Linked DNA regions of Sus scrofa. The protein of the gene in region 2 interacts with the protein of the main gene of each other region in a biochemical or structural test. Links are inferred from orthologs where the notes say so. Each region holds a gene or a part of one and is shown on either strand. Other genes may lie near its edges.

Region 1 (4,550 bases), on a different chromosome or scaffold from region 2:
CCGGGGGGAAGCAAATCCAACTAGGAACCATTGGGTTGCAGGTTCCATCCCTGGCCTTGCTGAGTGGGTTGAAGATCCGGCGTTGCTGTGAGATGTGACGTAGGTCGCAGACAGGAGTCGGATCTGGCATTGAAGTGACTGTGACCTACGCTGGCAGCTGTAGCTCCGATAGGAGGAGGGGGAGAAGGAGGAGGGGAGGGGAGGGGAGGGGAGGGGGAGGGAAGAAACTGGGGACAAATGAGGCTTGGTCCTGCTGGGATCATCCATGCAGTGATGCAGAGCGTACTTCTGAACTGTTCACTCAAGGAAAAGAAGGGAGCAGCAGCCACTTTGGGGCAGGTGCAACTTGGCAGCAACTCCTCACTTGTTTTTCACCTTCCACTTCTATGACTTCTCTGGGAGGCACGGGACTCTCGCGGGAACCTCTGTACTAACACTTATTTACACATGCACAACCTAAAAATACAAGGCAGTTACCACCCCAGGGACAACCCCTGACCAATGGGGGACAGGAAACTGGGGAAAAACGCTCCTCTCTCCTAAAAGAGAAATAGACAGAATGTAGGTTTGGGCATAAAGGGTATCTGTCACAATTGTCATTATTTTTTCCTGAGATGTATGGTAGCATTCACTGGTGAAGATATCTGGGTGTTTTTCCTGTGGAAAAGTTTTAATTACAAATTTATTTAAAAGATATAGGACTATTCAGATTTTCTGTTTCTCCTCATGTAAATTTTAGGTTGTATTTTTCTAGGTATTCATTTAACCTAATTTGACATATTCTGGCATACAGTAATTTCAACTGTTTTCTTTTTTTAATTTTTTTCTTTTCTTTTTAGGGCCACACACTCGCAGCACATGGAAGTTCCCAGGCTAGGGGTCAATCAGAGATACAGCTGCCAGCCTATGCCGCAGCCACAGCAACGCAGGATCCTAGCCACCTACATTAGAACTCACCGCAAGGTTGCCTCCTTAACCCACTGAGCGACGTCAGGGATCCAACCTGCAACCTCATGGTTACTAGTTGGATTCGTTTCCGCTGCACCACAATGAGAAAACTGCCAAACTGTTTTCCTTTTTAACTGAAGTATAACATATACATTTACAGAAAAGTACACAGATTATAAATTTACAGCTTGATGAATTTTCACAAACTACACATATTCATGTAACCCACCACCAAGATCAAGAAACAGACCACTACTAGATCTAGATGGAAGTCAGGTGTCCTAGGATTAACTCTAAAGCCTATAAAACCTATAAAATAAGAATAAATTACAAAATGTGAACAGATGAGTACTACATATTTTTCTCTTAAAGGTTTTTTTCCCCCTCAAGAATCTAGTTTATTTTGGCTCTCTGAAACACTGATTTCCCTCAAGAGTCATTTAGAAAACTCATAGTCAAAACATAGATAAATAAAGTTTTTGCTGGAAGACTATAAATGCAAAATAAGACAGGAAATCCCAAAGCAACCTGAGACATTGCCTTGACTTGACTGGAAAGAAGATCCAGGCGATTAGTGACTAATGTTTCCTGCTTCCTCGGTGTGTGCATCTGAAGAAGCCTCCCTGCAAGCAACCGCAGAGACCACTGTGGTCAACCAGCGTGCTGTCCCCAGCAGTGTAAAACTGCGAATCATTTCAACTACAGCCGCTGGCCGGTGCTCCTACGAAACCTGAGCGCCTCCAGGCCACGCCCTCGGTTTCCTGGGTTACTAGCCTCCAAGCACCTCCCAAGGTCTGTTCCGGGAGGCGGTGATCTTACGTTCTCGACGCGTGACTCAGCACGCTTTGGTATAAATACGTGCTGCCGGAAGACGCTTTCTCTCTTACCGCGTGGCCGGCCTCCAACATGGCGCCGGTGAGTGAACGTGATCTCGCCGGGAATTCTTACTTTGATGTAGATGTGTGTTTCAGGTGGCGAGTTGGGGGAGGCTAGTTCTAGATAAAGAGTGGTTAGAATTGGAGACTTGGGTCAGGAACACAACCAAGATTAAGGTTGTAAGTTTTTTCCTGACTCTTGACAACTGCTACGCGGCGAGGGCCCGGTATTGGCTTAGGATGGGTCGTGGTGGGAGCGCAGGAAAAGCGGAGGCACGACGGTGAAGGGGGCTAATAGAACAGCATTTGGGCTTTGTTTTTTCTCCCTGGTGCATGGTAAGGCAGTTGCTACTCTTTACAGTGGAAAGCAGATGTGGGTAATCGAGCGGGTCTTATAGCCTTACGAGGGCGGAGGGAGATAGGCGTCTCTCATTTCCCAGGATAGCCGCGGTTGTAGAGGTTTCAGAGAACTTTAGAACTAAGTTGGGGGAAAAGTTTGTTAACCTCACAAAGGAATTTTTTTAAAACGTGAAAGTCAACGACTCGGGCAAATATAAATGTTTGCTTCAAAGGTTTTATTGACCAGGGGACCAGTAAGGTCTTAAAGCTGGTCCAAAGAGCGTTTGAAGTGTTAGGGTAAAATTGCTGGGTTATATACAAAACTAGATAATGTGCAAAGGGGCCATAAGCCCTCTGGGCATATTTGTTCCACCGACAAATTATTTGCATTTCTGAAGTTAACTGATGGCCCAGCAGAGCTGTAAATTGCTCGGTCAAGCCCAGCTCCTGGGAATCGCTATTAACTGTTCGAAAGTTTAGGATGAATTTTTTTGGCACAAGTCTAAGGTAAAAAATAGCAGTTTAAGTGGCATTTTTTGGTGGGTGGATTTTAATGTGTAACTTTATTCTGTGGTATTGTTCGAAAAGTTTAGAGTATGGTAAACAAAGTACTTTTTCTTTTTTTTTTTTAAGACCACCAGACTGGTATCCTTTTCCTCACCCATAACAGCATTAAGGTTTAATTCCTTAGAATAAAATATCCTATTCTTGCATGAAGCTTAAGTTTTTCACGAAACTTTTCTTGATAACTTGAAACAATGTGAACCTGGTTAGAGGTCCAAACCAACGCAGATAGGTATTTATTAGTTTTGACTTGTAATAGAAAATAGATGCTTTTAGTCTCTTCCAATTGCAAAATAGGATTCTTTAGGAATCTTCTGATGAAGGAAACTGAAAGTATACTTTTTTTTTTTTTTTTTTTTTGTCTTTTTGCTGTATCTTGGGCCGCTCCCGCGGCATATGGAGGTTCCCAGGCTAGGGGTTGAATCGGAGCTGTAGCCACCGGCCTACGCCAGAGCCACAGCAACGCGGGATCCGAGCCACGTCTGCAACCTACACCACAGCTCACGGCAACGCCGGATCGTTAACCCACTGAGCAAGGGCAGGGACTGAACCCGCAACCTCATGGTTCCTAGTCGGATTCGTTAACCACTGCGCCACCACGGGAACTCCCTGAAAGTATACTTTGAGCTTTCTTGAGTATTATTGCACTTGTAAGACACTTGAATGATGAATAAGTGAAATTTCCATTGGACTTCATGTAACTTAGTTTTAACCAAATTAATGAGTGTACTCCATAGTGTGGCTTTGTATGTCCAATAGATGTTAAGCAATTTTTTAGAATTTTGCACCATTTCATATATATAGCCTCACAGTACATTGTACATCACTGAGCTGGTATAGATTTTTGGCTTTGAATAAAGTGAATAAATGGTTGTAGAGAGCCATAATTATATTGCCTTTGTAGAAGAAAGACAAGAAGCCTAAGAAGTCAACCTGGAAGTTTAATTTGGACCTGACTCATCCAGTAGAAGATGGAATTTTTGATGCTCGAAATTTTGTAAGTATCACTCTACCCAGGTGTTTTTTTTTTTTTTTTTTAAGTCATTGTAGTAGAATTCTTAATGAATTGAATATGTAATATTTGATTTTAACCTATGCTGTGTTCCTAGGGTGCCTTCCCTAGTGAATACCTAGGGTTTTCTTCCCTAGTGTGGCATTTTTTCTATTTTAAAATAGGAACAGTTTCTACGGGAGAAGGTTAAAGTGAATGGAAAAACTGGGAATCTTGGGAATGTTGTTCACATTGAACACTTCAAGAATAAAATCATGGTTGTTTCTGAGAAACAGTTCTCTAAAAGGTTGGTATTTGTTTTCCATGGTATATATTTTTTTAACAACATGGGGTGTTTTAATATTAGAATATGTTTGGAGTTCGTGTTGTGGCTCAGTGGAAACAATCTGACTAGCATCCACATCCACACAGGTTCGATCCCTGGCCTCTGCTCAGTGGGTTAAGGATCCATTGTTGCCATGAACTGTGGTGTAGGTCGCAGACACAGCTTGGATCTGGCGTTGCTTGGATCTGCCAGCAGCTATAGCTCTTGATTCGACCACCCCTAGCCTGGGAACCTCCATATGCTGTAGGTGTGGCCCTAAAAGACAAGAAAAAAATATATATATATGAGTATGTTTGAAGAAACATGTCCGTTGTTGAGCGTGGCAGTCATGTCCCAACTTAGTTCTGGTTGTCTGGTAGAGGCAGTCAATCAAAGGTCAAGTCTCTAATGTTAGTTTTGCTGTCAGTTTACCTGACAAATATGTAATACATAGCACTGTTACAGGACTGAGTAGCCTAGCAGTGAACCAAGAGAACTAAGTACCCAC
Region 2 (4,423 bases):
ATGTTATTAGTCATTTGATGCAATATATGATACTGCTTTCTATGCATACCATAACTAAGAGGACAGTTTTAGAGAAAGTTATAAGTCATAAATTTCAGACATAGAGGCACACATTTTCTGAAATCAGAGGAGAAATGGCCAATCAACTTACTGCTCATATATAAGAATCTGGTAGGAAAATGTTAGTCTTATAACTCTGATACGTTTAAATCAAATGGGTATAGCAAAAGTAGCATAAACATACTGTGAATATTAAAAACAATCTAATAAACAGCATTCTGGAAAATTTTTTGAATGGAGGCTTATTTTAAAAAGTTAAACAGTTAATTAATGTGTTCCTATATATTCAGATGACTGTCAGTTTACGCCAACAGTAGACTATTTTTGAAGTAAGTTACAAATCAGAAGAGTTTTTCCGTAATTAACTTCTGGGTAAGCGGGTCAAGTTCAGTCTCAGTAAAGTTTTCAATTAATGCAACTTTAAAATTTCCAAATATTCTTTTTAAACATTCTTTTTTAACTTAACAGAAAACGGTTACCTTGTGTGCGTGGTAAAGCTATTTCTTCAGTAATTTTATCTTCATTTCAAAACAAATACTTCGAGTAAATTAGCTGTGCACACTATGTGCACATACATAACCCGAAGGAATAAAATCTCTCCAGATATACAACGTTTGATTCAAAAAAACTCCCCCACAATTTTTAGCTGTACATATATAAACACTTTAGTCTCACTTTACCTTTAGGAGAGATGTTTACTGACAGTTGCTAAGAAACCACTTTTATTAAAGAATATTAACACTTATAAAACTACATAGTTTTAACTAAATATTGTCAACTAGTAAAATTCATACCACCAAATTTCTTATCTTAATAGAGGCTTAAAAAAATGCTTCAGTCACCTCAGACCAGTAACTTAATCCTGTCTCATGTCTATACACTGGCCTTTCGTAACTCTCAATTTCTGATACTTTTCATTCTGCAAAAAAGGGCTCCATTCCCATCCTTGATCAAAGCCAGCTTATTATACCTGAAACTGCAAAGATTAATGCCTTTTGATAACCAGCATCTTTTGAAGTACAAGGGCCTGTTAGACAACCAATACTATACACTATTGAAATTCTTGGGTTTCTATCTTATTCAACAAGCTGACTCAGTAAATTTAAGACACCGTATGGAAAAAGCGGAACACACCTACAATCTGAAGCTGGAGTAATCCACTCTTGCCAGTCTGATTATTAGCTGATAAATTGTACTTGACATTCTACACAAGTCAGAGTAAGATTAACGGATACCCAAAGGTGTCAGAGGACATGATACCTAAATAAGGTGAGCAGCAATTCTGGCATCACAATAATACTTAAATTTCAAGTGAAACTGAAGTTTAATCTCTGCAATCACCATTTGCTACACACTATACCCTTCAACCTATACAACCTTATCATCTGGGATCAAAAACCACTCAATCTCCATTCTACTACTTGTCACAAGAGCACTGAATATAAAATGCTACTGAATTGCAAATTTCATATCCTATCCCATATCACCCCAATGGGGGGAGGGGAGCAAATTTAACAAAGATCTAATAAGAACGATTTATGAGATATACCACGGCACTATTGATTTCAAGCTACAAAACTTCCACATGCAGTTCAAAGTTGTAATTAACTTTGTTTTAACACACAAACCTACTTTTGCCTTCAAATGAGCACCATATATGCTAAAATGATTCTCTCTAAAGTTATGCAAATCAGTTCACAACTCACATTTTAAAAGAATCTATCAATGCAACCCAGGAAACTCAAAACAATCACTGCAAGATTCTGATGCAATATGCGTACGTGCAACACTAATTTTCATTTTAATCTGATCTATACCCTTGATCTAGGGCCTAAAGCCAAGATTTAATCGAAATATGCTCAACCTCAAAGCATCTACTTTTCTGTTCATTTAATAGACCGGATTACCGAGCTCACTAATCCACTAACACTGTACTGTATTCTGTATTAACGGACAATAGCCCTTAGGAAGAGACCCCGTAGACAGACTAAGAAACCCATGGGCGCCTTGACACTTGCAACCAAGCAAGAGTTCTGTCTAGATGAACACACCCTAGGCTGAATGCATTCAAAAGCAGCACAAAATATACATGATCTAGAAATCTGATTAGGGTTAAATGTTATAGTCACCCAAACTATGGACATTTTTCGCATCCGTCTACTCCCACGTTATAAGAGCGAGTGACAGAAAAGCAAAGAGGAGCAGCAGCCACAGAAATGGATACAGGTCAAGTCTAAGTCGAATCCATCCTCTTGATATCTCCTTTTGTTTCTGCTAACGATCTCTTTGATGATGGCTGTCATGTCTGGGAGTCTGTGGCTGAAGAAAAAGGAGGAGAGAGATGGCAGAAGCTGCTGGTGGCGGGGCTTCTTCTGCAGGATGGAAATGGCTCTGGACTTGGCGGTAGCTGATGCCCCTCGCTCTGCTGCCGCTTGGCTCTGGACCGCAGCCGGGTAATGGCTGCTGCGGCGGCTGCTGGATGGTTGCAGCGACTGGGCCTGCTTCTCCTCAGCAGCCAGAGATCTGGCAGCGGCGGCAGCGGAATGGGGAGAAGACGAATAATCCTCGGAAAGGCTGCCTCCTCCGGCGGCCTCTGGAGCCCGGGCCAGGGGGGGTGCGGCGGCGGCGGAGGGGAGGTTTAAAACCGGCCCGGGTCCCTGGATGTGCCGCCGCCGCCGCCGCCGTGTTGGAGGCAGTAAGAGGGGAGAGACCAACTCTCCGGCGTTCCCAGCCCTGGAAATGATGACAGGCGACTCCGACCCCCTCCCCGGAGCTGCAGCCGCCGCCGCCGCCGCCGCCGCCGCTTCTCCCCCCCGCTCCAGGAGCGGGAGGTGCCGCCGCCGCTCCTCAGCCGGCTCCCGCCCGAGCCCACGGCTTCCACCGTCCCTTTCAGAAGAAGCCGAGGAAGAGGCTGCACGGTTAGAAAAGAGGACGAAGAGGAGGCGAGAAACGCCGCCGCTGCCGCCGCCGCCGGCCGGCCGGCTCCCCGAGGGCGCTGCCCCCGCGGCTGCTCACAGGCGTTGAGAGGGGCTCTGGGCCGCGGCCGCCGCCGTCTCTCATCTCCTTCGCCTGAGCCCGGTCTCGCCTCACAGCGGCCCAACTCTCAAACTTCCATCATGGCTGCAGCTTCCGAGAGGAGAGAACTGAGCGCAGCCGCGTCCCGGCTCCGAACGGGTATCCTGCCGCAGTGCACAAAGAGTCCCGCCACATCACCGCCCGCCAGCCTGCCCGCCCCCTCCGCCGCCGCGCTAGGGGCAGGGGCGCCTGGGAGCCCGAGGGGAGGCGGGAGGCGGGAGGCGGGCCGGACCGCGCCAGGGGAGAGACGCGCAGGGCAGGGCTGGGGTTTTAGGGAGGGGGCAGAAGCGGCAGCTCTGGTGCGAGCGCCGAGTCCCCAACCTGCTGGCGCCACTGAGCATGCCCAGTATGACTGCCCGGGGCTCGCTCGGGCTTGTTCCGAGGCCCCCTCCTGAAGCTGCACTTGCTGCGGCTGCTTCTGCAGCAACGCAGGGTGGGGGGACGAGCTGAACCATAGCCTGTGCCCAGCAACGCAACCCGAGGCAGAATAGGCTGTTGCGAGCGAGACAGGGGGGTTAAGGTGAAGGCTGAGGCAGGTTCTTTGAGCAGTGTCACTGACGCGAGTCTGAGGTTACCTGTGCACAGGTGGGAAAGACCAGGTGACTGCGCTGGTAGTGTACCGGGAAGCGCAAGGATGGTCCCTACAGCGAGGACACCTCTCCCCTTGCCCCCAGATTTCCCTGGCACGGCCTGCAACCCCCCGTCCTTTTGCACCGCTGTCGGATCACAATCGTTCGCAGGGATTTGACTGCAGCAGCCTCTGCCAAAAAATCCACCTATCCCCCACCCCCACCCGTGTCCTCAAGGTGTCAGTCTTAATACAAAGAATCCCCTATTGTGTCTCTAGTGTGTATCACCTCATCCGGCTCCCTTGCATCGCCCCACCTCCCGCTTCCCCGGCAACCTGGTTCATTTGCCCTAAAATTGAAAGGTCCAGCAGAGCGTGCTGAATATGAACACATCGCCCCTGAATTTCTAGATCCCAAAGGACAAATGTCCAGGTGAAATGAAAGCTGATACCCGACGCTGGGATGCACCCCAGCCCCCTGGAGAGCAGAGAGCATCTCTCCCCTCGGGGTTCCAGTAGGGTTCACCGCGTCGAACTGAGCCAAAGACTCCTCGCCCCGCCCCCTTTTGGGCCGCTGTGAAAACCTGGCTGGCTGGATCGCCCCGGGGCCCGGTTCCGCGCTCCACCACCCGGGCGGAGACTCGGGTTGCTGGGCCGGAGAGTGAAGTACGCGACGGTAGGAAGCTGCAGCCCCGGCGAGTGGGCGGAGCCGAGGAGACC

The links.
Region 1: the proteins of PTEN (region 2) and RPL22L1 form a complex in vitro, tested with the Homo sapiens proteins (2 studies listed by BioGRID). The link is inferred for Sus scrofa from reciprocal best matches to the Homo sapiens genes PTEN and RPL22L1.

The regions. Positions count from the first base shown.
Region 1 is NC_010455.5:109,496,669-109,501,218, reverse strand, and holds the start of RPL22L1 (60S ribosomal protein L22-like 1), read left to right. Parts: upstream 1-1,723; 5' UTR 1,724-1,854; coding exon 1,855-1,863; intron 1,864-3,630; coding exon 3,631-3,723; intron 3,724-3,902; coding exon 3,903-4,024; intron 4,025-4,550.
Region 2 is NC_010456.5:99,928,234-99,932,656, reverse strand, and holds the start of PTEN (phosphatidylinositol 3,4,5-trisphosphate 3-phosphatase and dual-specificity protein phosphatase PTEN), read right to left. Parts: upstream 3,068-4,423; 5' UTR 2,364-3,067; coding exon 2,285-2,363; intron 1-2,284. UniProt on the Homo sapiens protein: Dual-specificity protein phosphatase, dephosphorylating tyrosine-, serine- and threonine-phosphorylated proteins.